2 linked regions of the Macaca fascicularis genome follow. The protein of the gene in region 1 binds, or shares a complex with, the protein of each later gene. Links are inferred from orthologs where the notes say so. Each region holds a gene or a part of one and is shown on either strand. Other genes may lie near its edges.

Region 1 (4,973 bases):
TTTTTCACAAACTGAACACACCCATGCAACCAGCACCCAGCTCAAGAGACAGAATATGCCAGCAGCCTAAGACCACCGCCCCCAGCCCCACCATGCCTGTTTCCTCAAGGCCCACCATAACCCTGACTTCTAACAGCAAGGATGAGTTTTGCCCCTTTTTGTTTTTTTTGTTTTGTTTTGTTTTGTTTTGTTTTTTTGAGACGGAGTCTCGCTCTGTCGCCCAGCCCAGGCTGGAGTGCAGTGGCGCGATCTCGGCTCACTGCAAGCTCCGCCTCCCGGGTTCACGCCATTCTCCTGCCTCAGCCTCCCGAGTAGCTGGGACTACAGGCACCCACAACCGCGCCCGGCTAATTTTTTTTTTGTATTTTTAGTAGACACGGGGTTTCACCGTGGTCTCGATCTCCTGACCTTGTGATCCGCCCGCCTCGGCCTCCCAAAGTGCTGGGATTACAGGCGTGAGCCACCGTGCCCGGCCCTTTTGCCCCTTTTTGAAATGTATTAACATTGAATTATACAGTATGAATTCTTTGGTGTCTCATTTTATTCACTTAGTATTATGTTTATGAGAATCGCCTATATTGCTTCATTCTCATTCATTCATTGTATGAACATGCTACAATTTATTCAGTCAGCTTTTTTGGTCTTACGTAGTGCTGCCATTAACCAAACAGGATCTAATTCAGCAATACGAGAAGATTTACTGCCTGAAGGGCAATGAATTCACCACGTTAACAGAAAAATGGAGAAAAATCATATGATTTTTATGCATGTGTTTTGTGCATACATCTATGCCTTTCTTTTGAGAGTAGAATTGCCAGGTTGTAGTATATGTGTGTCTTCATCTTTAGATGATATTGCCAAATAGTATTCCAAAGTAGCTGAACCATGTGACATCCCCAGCTGCATAGTATGACAGTTCTGGTTATTCTATATTCTCACCAATACTTACCATTGTCTGATTTGTTTGGTTTTTTTTTTCGCCCTTTGGCCATCCTGATGGTGGTATCACATTGTGATTCTAAAAATTCTCTAATGACTAGTGAGGGTAAACTCCTTTTTATATGTTTTTTTTCCACTTGGGTATCCTCTTTTGTAAGATACCAATTCAAGGCTTTTCACTGATTTGTAGGAGTTCCTCATATATTCTGGATAAGAGTCCTTTGTCATATGCATCCCAAGTATGTTCTCTTCTTCTGTGGCTTATTTTCTTCATGGTTCCTGTTAATGACTAGAAACTCTCAATTTTAATGAAATCCAATCTACCACTTTTTTCTGATTAGCACTTTTTACGTCTTGTTTTAAAAGTTTTTACTTACTACAAGGTTAAGATATTCTCCTATGTTTTCTTCTAAATGCTTACTTGTTTGATTTTTCACATTTGGATCCACAACCCATCTGGGATTGATTGTTATACATATTGTAAGGTAAGAGGTCAAGATTCCAGTTTTTCCATATGGATACCAATTGAACCAGTATCATTTACTGTACACCATCACTTTTGTCATGAGTGATATTTACAGGCCTATTTATTCTTTTCCATTGTACTGTTTGTTTATCCCTATGCCAAACCTGCATGTCAATTTGGATAAAAGAGGCATCTGCACCATATCTCAGTGGAAGTGATGATAGCAGGCATTTTTGTTTATTTTTCCATCTTAAAGGGAAAGCTGGCCAGGTGTGGTGGCTCACGCCTGTAATCCTAGCACTTTGGGAGGCCAAGGCGGGTGGATTGCTTGAGCCCAGGAGTTCGAGACCAACCTGGGTAACATAGCAAGACCCATGTCCTTTAAAAAAAAAAGGGGGTAAAGCTTTTAATCTTTCACTGAGAAGTATGACGCTGGATGTAGGGTTTTTGTAGGTATTCTTTCTCACAATAAAGAACTTCCCTTCTATTCCAAGTTTGCTAAGAATTTTAATCTTGAATGGGTTTTGAATGTTATCATAGGCTTTTTCTGCATCTGTTGAGGGGATCATATGATCTTTTTCCATTTTTATGTTAATGTGGTGAATTTATTGGCCTTCAGGTAGTAAACCTTCTTATATTGCTGAACTAGATCCTGTTTGGGTGTGATTTATTATACTTTTTATACATAGCTAAATTTGACTTGCTAATATTTTGTTTGGCGTTTTTACATCTCTGTTGCAGAGAGAAATTGTAAGATTCTTGTCAGATTTGTGTATCTTGACCCAATTTGTTTACAGCAGGACATGCTCTGATGCTGGTGTTTCTTTTGAAGCTGCCGCCTGCAGTTCCTTTTGCCTTCTTTTTAGATGTTCATGAGAGCGCAGTTTGACTATGATCCCAAAAAGGACAACCTGATCCCTTGCAAGGAGGCGGGACTGAAGTTTGCTACTGGGGACATTATCCAGATTATCAACAAGGATGACAGCAATTGGTGGCAGGGACGGGTGGAAGGCTCCTCCAAGGAGTCAGCAGGATTGATCCCTTCCCCTGAACTGCAGGAATGGTGAGCCATTTTTGTGCAGGCGGAAGGGCCATGTGCCTGCCACAAATAACTTAGCTTCAGAAAATCTGTCATTTTGTTTGTAGTTTCTGTTTCTCGACCAAGGAGACCTCCTAGATTTCCTGGCATAATGGGTGGGGGAGGGTTAAAGAGGCAACTACAGGCAAGGGAGCCCAAATAGCTCTTCATTCCTATGTGGGCCTCTTGCTTCCTTAAACGTTTTCCCCATAGTTACAAAGCACGTGACAGTGCTGGGACGGAGCCCTCCCTGGTCTCCTATCTCCCAAGCTAGTGCGCTTCTACCAGCCATACTGTTTCTGGGATTTCCTTGGAGTCCTGCAGAAAACAGTCACATTTAAGTATGTGTCCTTTAGGCACATTTCTGGTACATAGAAAAAATAATTCCTGTCCCTGAGTCAGATTGCTCCCAAAAAAATTCACAAAACAGTTCCAACCTATAACATATCCAACACTGAGCCTCCCTCTGCCTGTGCAAAATTACCCCAGTGTAAAGATTACAACCCTTGTGGGGTTGACATTGAATAGAAATATTAGAATCTATTACATGTAGTAATACAAGTTATTGTTTTGTGAAGCAGTTGTTTTAGATATATATATGTGGGGTGTGTGTATGTGTTTTGTTTATAGATGTATGTATAATACTGGCTTGCAATGTACAGTGTATTTCTTAGGGTCATAAAGGTTTGAGACCTTGATGGTCTAGACCAAAGAAAGCACGTTGTTTGTGCGTTGTGTCCAGAATGTGCTGACAGGTACTGGATGACACAGACTCAAGGGGCCAGGTCCCTGACTGAGGGCAGGGCACAGTGCAAGATGCACCAAACAGCGTATGGGGCGCTTTGCACACATTATGTCCCACTGTAACGGACACTCAGAGAGTGAAGGGGATTAGGGAATGAGTGACTAGGGGGTTATGAGGGGAGGGGGAGGAAAGCTGACCCCTTGATTGTCTTTTCCTACCAGGCGAGTGGCAAGTATAGCTCAGTCAGCTCCTAGCGAAGCCCCGAGCTGCAGTCCCTTTGGGAAGAAGAAGAAGTACAAAGACAAATATCTGGCCAAGCACAGCTCGAGTAAGCTTTCTGAGCCTTCTTGCCCCAGGCTCCTCCAGCATTCGTGTGTTTCCCAGTCTCTGTAACCAGCAGAAAAGGGGAGGTGGTGCAGTGTGCAGCGGAAGGCACATTCTACATAAAGCATATAATTTCTTCTGGTTTCTTTTTATTGAATCCATCTTCACAAGCTTGCCGCAGTCAGACCAGTGGAGGTAAAGGAGGACTAGTGGTCTGCCTACACCTACTCATCACCCCACCCCTCACACAGAAGTAGATGTGGCCAGAACATCTGTGGTGGGAAAGGAGAAGTGGGGCAAGAACACAGGCCAGAGGGAGAGGCCAGGACCAGGTCATAGGAGCTTCGTGCACCCTCCCTAGCGTTTTCAATTTTGTACTACAGACTGTGGAGCTAGTGAAGGGTTTTGAGCAGAGAATTCACACGGTCACCTTTCCATCTGCATTTCTCTTTCTGAGATGTCACATGCACACCACCAGCCAGGGAATGATCGTGGCAGTCTTGGGTTGTGAGCAGGTGAGGGGGTGGAGAGTCAGGATGACACCAGGTCTCCATCTTGAGCAGCTGGGTCAATAGCCTCATCTCTAGTCACTTCCTCCCTGCTTGTTGAGATATCGTGAGGTTCTTTCCCACTTCAGAGTGTGGAACACTGTTCTTCCCAGCTCTGGAAATGAACACTGCTTGGTTTTCTTTGTCTCTAGTTTTTGATCAGTTGGATGTTGTTTCCTACGAGGAAGTCGTTCGGCTCCCTGCATTCAAGAGGAAGACCCTGGTGCTGATCGGTATCTTCTCATTTGCACATTTCTGTCTTTATTTTCCTGCCTGCATCATGTGCCCACCCCAGAAAAAGGCAGTGAGGAAGAAAATAAGTGAGGTCTCTTGGGTTCTCCACATAGAGCAGGTGTAAGGAATTTTCTGAATCCTCACATGCACCCCATCTGGGTCCACCTCACAAATGAAACTAAACCTTATAAGTTTCTCTACTATTTAGCAACGAATTCTCTTTGGTTAGGTTTCATGCTGGCAGGTCCGAAACAAGGTTTTGCTCTTTGTTCATCTGTCCACTGGCAGTGATATGCTTTTTAAAGCAAATATGTTGGAGAGCTTCGCTAGCATTTTGTTAGTATTCTGAACTGTCAGTCACCCATATAAGCCTTGGAAGCTTCCCCCAAGCAGTGACTCTGACCTGAAACAGAGTAAGTCCTTGCTTCAAACCCAGGTATGTAGGCTTTGCCTCTGGCGGGCTGCTCACCTTCCTGTCTTTAGAGTTGAAACTTTAGTTGGTTAGAGGATCTACATTAAGGTTTTGGTAAAATTTCTAGTAAAAACACTGGCTTAAATTCAGTTCCATTAATTTTGAAGAAATTTTAGAAAATAACCAGAAAGCCTCATGTGTTCGCTGGCTCCTCTGCAGAAGTGACA
Region 2 (5,668 bases), on another chromosome or scaffold:
AGTCAGTTTATTAATTTTTTTGGCTTCTTTTCTGTAAGGAATTCTCTGGAACATTTTGATACCTTCAACCCATCCTACCCTAAGAAATTAAGGAAATCGCTTATGATTATGTCTCAGGCCAGTAGGTTCTAAATGAGTCTGTAAAAGTCTCTAAGTGTGCTGCAATGACCTAATGACTTATTCTTTGTTACCTGGCAGGACTTTCTGCTTCTTTCCAACTTTCCAGCTGCATTTCAGATAATTAAAGTTATTTTCTCTCAGGACAGGGGAGGCGGACTACTGTTCCACCTAGACATAAATGTACGTATTACCAAAAAAAAAAAAAAAAAAGTTAAACTGTTAATCATGGGCGCGGTGGCTCACGCCTATAATCCCAGCACTTTGGAAGGCCAAGGCGGGCGGATCACCTGAGGTCGGGAGTTCGAGACCAGTCTGACCAACATGGAGAAACCCTGTCTCTACTAAAAATACAAAATTAGCCAGGCGTGGAGGCACAGGCTTGTAATCCCAGGTACTTGGGAGGTTGAGGCAGGAAAATTGCTTGAACCCAGGAGGCGGAGGTTGTGGTGAGCCGAGATCGTGCCATTGCACTCCAGCCTGGGCAACAAGAGCAAAAACTCCGTCTCAGAAAATAAAAAATAAAAATAAATGAATTAATCATTGCTTGTTTCTGTTTATTAAATGCCTTTTCTGTTCCCACTGTGATTCTACAATCACTGCCTCTGTAAAACCCTGGAATGCAGGTGTTCTTGCCTCCATTTTATAGATGAGGAAATCAAGACTCAGGGCATTCGGTGAGGAGTTTATTTCAATTCACCATGGCTGTGCTGCACATGGCAGTTGGACTAAAGATCTGTCAGCATCGGGGCTTCTTCATGATCTAACTAAAGTGAATCATAAGTGCTTTCCCACTGCGTCAAGAAGGCCTGGAGTTTGTGCAGCCCAGGTAGAGGTGAGCAAAGCCTCTGTGTTGCACATCTCCAGGGCTCAGCCTCTCATTGTATTCAATGCAGATGACAGCCCCAAAGGCACCGCCCATACACTGTACAGACAACTGGCCTGGCTCTCTGGATTGTGCAGGACAGGCCTTAATGGCAGAAGGTAGGGGAGACGAGGGCGTCACAAAAGTGCTTGGGGAACTATAAAGTACATATGTTTATTGCGGCACTATTCACAATAGCAAAGACTTGGAACCAACCCAAATAACCATCAATGACAGACTGGATTAAGAAAATGTGGCACATACACATCATGGAATACTATGCAGCCATAAAAAAGGATGAGTTCATGTCCTTTGTAGGGACATGGATGCAGCCGGAAACCATCATTCTCAGCAAACTAACACAAGAACAGAAAACCAAACACCGCATGTTCTCACTCACAGGTGGCAACTGAACAATGAGAACACTTGAACACAAGAAGCGGAACATCACACACCTGGGCCTGTGGTGGGGTGGTGGGAGGGGGAGGGATAGCATTAGGAGATATACCTAATGTAAACGACGAGTTAATGGGTGCAGCACACCAACATGGCACATGTATGTATATGTAACAAACCTGCACGTTGTGCACATGTACCCTAGAACTTAAAGTACAATTAAAAAAAAAAAAAAAAAGAAAAGCAGCACAGGACGGTTCAGATATCACATAGGAGAAGCACAGGGTGTTCCCCTGGGCGGGGATTTAAAACAAGGGCCTCAAGTTCCCTGCCCTTGTCTCTGGGCAGAAGGGGCAGATAATGCTATGATATACTTTTTTGTAGGTGGTGCCAGTTGACTGCATTTAACCAACCAAGATATGTAACGAAATCCTTGTGGAGGTTTTCATGGCAAAAGTAGAGCGAATTCACAAACTGCACTGTGTCTGGCAGCTTCAGACAAAAGCAATGGGAACAAATCACAACCCTTGTCCAGCAATTCTTCCTGTTTTGGAACGATCTTTGCTCAACACCCCATCCATGGGTACAGGGCCCCCAAAGGCCAAGAAGACAGGGACTCTCTCCAGGGACAAATGCCCCGTGGCTAGCTCAGAGAGGCCGCCCAGCTATCCAGCGGCCGCGCAGCCAGCCAAGATTTCAACACAGGTCTGCCCTATTTGGTCACCATTCCCGACAGTGCTGGGCCAGGCCAGCAAGTCACATTGGCGAGTTTTCCCTGCACTCCAGGGGGAATTCTCAACCACAACCTCTGTATCCGGTAGTGGCAGATGGAAAGAGAAACGGTTAGAAAAGCGTGGTTCTTGCGCAGGAAAGTTGGAGCAAAGAAGAGTTCAGAAGTGGGCGGGTGTGTGTTCAAAAAAAAAAAAAAAAAAAGGGTGGAAACCCTACCAGCCAAGTCTGCAGAAAAAAAATGAAGTCTGCCTATCTCCGGGCCAGAGCCCCTCCCCTCGGCCCGCGCGGGAGGAGTGTGACCCAGGTGCCGCTTCCTCTCGCCGCTGAGGGTCAGGAGCCCGGGAGCGCGACCCTCCCCCGGCCCGGCCCGGTCCGGCCCTTCCCCGCGGTCTCTGCCCGGGCTGATGCCCAGGACCAGCAGCCCCAACGGCACGGCGCGGCCACTCAGCCTCGGTGAGTACCCGCCGTGGGGAGGGGTCCTGGGGACCCACTGGAGGCCGCGGCCCGCAGCAGCCAGGGGCCGAGCCGCGGTCACGGACTCCCGGGTGTCCTGGTCCTTGCCCGGCCTCCAGGCGGAGGAGGCGCCCGCTGGGCTCAGATCCCCGACTCCAGCCCCGGTTCCCCGGCGCCTGGGCTGCGCGGAGTCCCTGTCCCGCGTCCCGGACGGCGACGCGCAGCCTCCACGCGCCCCGAGCTGGAGAGGCCGCCAGCCCGCCCGCCCAGGGCGTGTCGCCCGCTCTCTGTTTCTTTGTGCGGGGCATGGGAAATGTGTGGGGCCAGCACTGTCCCCCTAAAGAACAGTTAGGGAAGAGTCCACATCACAAGTTGCGTCTGTGCTGCTCCCTAGCCAGGGGCCGACCGGGCAGGCTCTGGTGAACTCCAGGCAACTCCAGCCTTGCCCAGGGACTTGCTCGCTCCTCTGGGCGCTGCAAAGGCACACAGATGCGGGGAAATCCTGCGGCCTGGATCCTTTGGGGATTTGTAATTCCTCGCTGTTTGTTTTCTTTCTCTTTTAAACCATTACGTTTTCTTGCTGACAGGAAATCATATGCGATGAAAGTCTTTGTAGGTGGTTGGAAACATTGCTGGGCCTCTCTCTGCGCTCTTCCTCTGCTGTTACTTTTGCAATAATAACTACCATTTTATTTTACCTAAAAACCTAATGCATATCCCTCTTATCCCCCACCCTGCCGCGGTCTTATTCTTAGAGTCTGTCAGAGAGGAGATAGCCTGAGCCTATCATGTGATAATGTTACCTTATTGATATGATGATGATATGGGTATTGGAGACACCAACTCAAAGTCTTTGAAATCCAGGGGGTTGTGAGGCCTCAACCCCACCCTGCCCGAGCCTGGAGCTTGGCATGGAGGAGCGTAGCTTCGGTCTACGTGTGTACACGGCACTCCGTGTGCCCGTGGTTGTGCTTGGGTCGGCCTGGGAGTGCGCGGGCGTAAATGGTACTTGAGAGCGAGGCCCCTCAGTCTGCACTGGGATCACTGCACTGCCTCTAAACAAGGCAGCCTCTCTTAGCTCCAGTTTCCTCATCTGCAAAGTAGGAATAATAACAGGAGATTCCTCATCCAGCAGTAAGAAGTCCGTATCAATGTCCCGGCACGGAGACTGACACATCATAAGTGCTGGATCCGTGCTGGGCATGTTTATATCATTGTCCATGAGACTGTGGTTCCCGGAGTTTACGTGTGTGTGTAACTTGAGCACGTGTTTGTGTGTGTGTATATGGCGGGTCCTGGGTTAAAGGGACAGAAGCCACTGTCATTATTCCAATTCAGGCACTGAGGAGGTGAGGCTGACAGGCATTCCCATGTCTGAAGAGGATGGGCTTGCCTGACCCCCGCCCCCGTGCCCAGCCCAGCCCAGCCGCCCAAGCAGTTCTCCAGGACTCAGATTTCAGACCTACAACACTTGCCTTGGGAGACAAACAGCTGCGCAGCCCTTGCTTGCAAGCCATTCCGCTTTAGACTTCGGACTGATTTATGGCAGGATCCCTGCTGTGCGAGAACGGCAGGGGGTGGGGGGGGCGGAAGGGGGGCGGCTATTTCTTGCTGCTAACTCAGGCAGGATGTGTCTATATCCTGTCTCAGTTTATGTAGCCGCTGCTCATCAGAGCCAGAGGTTAGAGTGGAGAGGACCCACTTCCGCCAGGCAGGCCTGCTTTGCTCAGCTCAGCTGGGCTAGGTCCCAATGCCACATTTACTGCGCGGGAGTCATGCACAGCGATCCGTGGCCTTGCCCTTGGATGGAAGAGGTCAAGGCTCAGTGAGAAGATGGCCAGGTTTGGCAGCTTTATATAGAATACACCGCCTCTGGCAGAAGCAGAGGATGGCATTAAGTGCCAAATGAAATTCCACCTCAGCCATTGCTCAGTTCCTCCAGATGTCACGGGCACTGGGAGTCGCAGGGCGCTGCTGGTCAGCAGCTGGACCTTTCCAAGGGTGCCAGTGGTTGGGCAAGTATTTCTGGGGACTTGCAGAGCTCCCTGGGGAGCAAAGGGGTGGGAAGTACAAGGCATTCTGCGCTTGTGGTGGGAACAAGTGAACTCGTCTGCAATGAGTAGGAAGAGGTCCCCTCCACAGGGGTGAGAGGTTGGGCCAAGCCAAGTCAGTTTGCCTCTTCGGGTGGCAGACCTGTATATACATCTATGCCTCAAGTGCCTGTCTGAGGCCACAGCCAAAACATCTTCCCGTAACTGAGCACACACAGTGGGCCAACAGCACGCTCTAAACACAAAACCAAACAGTAAAGTTAACAGTGAATGAAGGGTTAAAAATAGGAAAAAGACACCTTTCTCCCTACCTCAATGGCAATTACTGTATTTATTGAGGATAATCCTTCTAGAAGTAAATTTGCTGATACAAATATTTCTTATTTGACATAATAAAAACTTATTTTATATATTTAATGTCATCTTGCTTTTTCCCTCAGAATATCTCTGAAAGGTTATACCTTGTTTTTTTCTTTAACCAGTTCCTCTGCTGATGGGCATTTAGGCTGTATGCAGACTTCATTTAATTTTTTAAACCACATACAGTACTCCTGTGACAATGCGTAAGGAGGATTTTACGTGCTTGTGTCTGTAAACTGTTGGGATAAATTCTCCCACCTCAGCATTTGATTTCTGGGACAAAGTATATATCCATTTAAAATGTTAGTCGATCTTAAGAAACTACCCTCCTAAAGTTCACACTGGTTTCTCATGCTCACAAATAGCCTGTGAAAGTCACTATTTCACTATTTCCCTGCATCCTCACTCACACTGCACTTTTTTATCTTAGCCAAACTGAGGGGTTAAAAAAAAAAAATGCTGTCACTTTGGAATGAGCCTCTGTAATTAAGTGAGACGGAGCATGTTTTCTTACTTCCATAAGAGGCTGCATTACTTTTCTGGGAAGTGTCGGTTGATGCCTTTGTCCGTTTCCTGTCAGCACCCCACCCCCGTGAGGAAACGTGCCCCAGAAGTGAAAGGACATGTCCTCATCACATGATGAGTAAGAGGCAGAGCAGAGGCCCGAGCAACATCCGTGTTGTGGAGTCAGCCC

What was found.
Region 2: the proteins of MPP1 (region 1) and GYPC are in contact, whole or in part, in an NMR structure (PDB 2EJY), measured with the Homo sapiens proteins. The link is inferred for Macaca fascicularis from reciprocal best matches to the Homo sapiens genes MPP1 and GYPC. Residues at the interface, in NP_002427.1 of Homo sapiens: Pro81, Met82, Gly83, Ile84, Leu86, Lys87, Leu88, Leu100, Val130, Gln134; in NP_002092.1 of Homo sapiens: Arg123, Lys124, Glu125, Tyr126, Ile128.

Annotation. Positions count from the first base shown.
Region 1 is NC_088395.1:160,894,262-160,899,234, reverse strand, and holds part of MPP1 (55 kDa erythrocyte membrane protein), read left to right. Parts: intron 1-2,237; exon of another isoform or gene 2,238-2,271; coding exon 2,272-2,468; intron 2,469-3,449; coding exon 3,450-3,556; intron 3,557-4,252; coding exon 4,253-4,333; intron 4,334-4,973. UniProt on the Homo sapiens protein: Essential regulator of neutrophil polarity. Regulates neutrophil polarization by regulating AKT1 phosphorylation through a mechanism that is independent of PIK3CG activity.
Region 2 is NC_088386.1:4,918,813-4,924,480, reverse strand, and holds the start of GYPC (glycophorin-C), read left to right. Parts: upstream 1-2,424; 5' UTR 2,425-2,514; coding exon 2,515-2,563; intron 2,564-5,668. UniProt on the Homo sapiens protein: This protein is a minor sialoglycoprotein in human erythrocyte membranes. The blood group Gerbich antigens and receptors for Plasmodium falciparum merozoites are most likely located within the extracellular domain.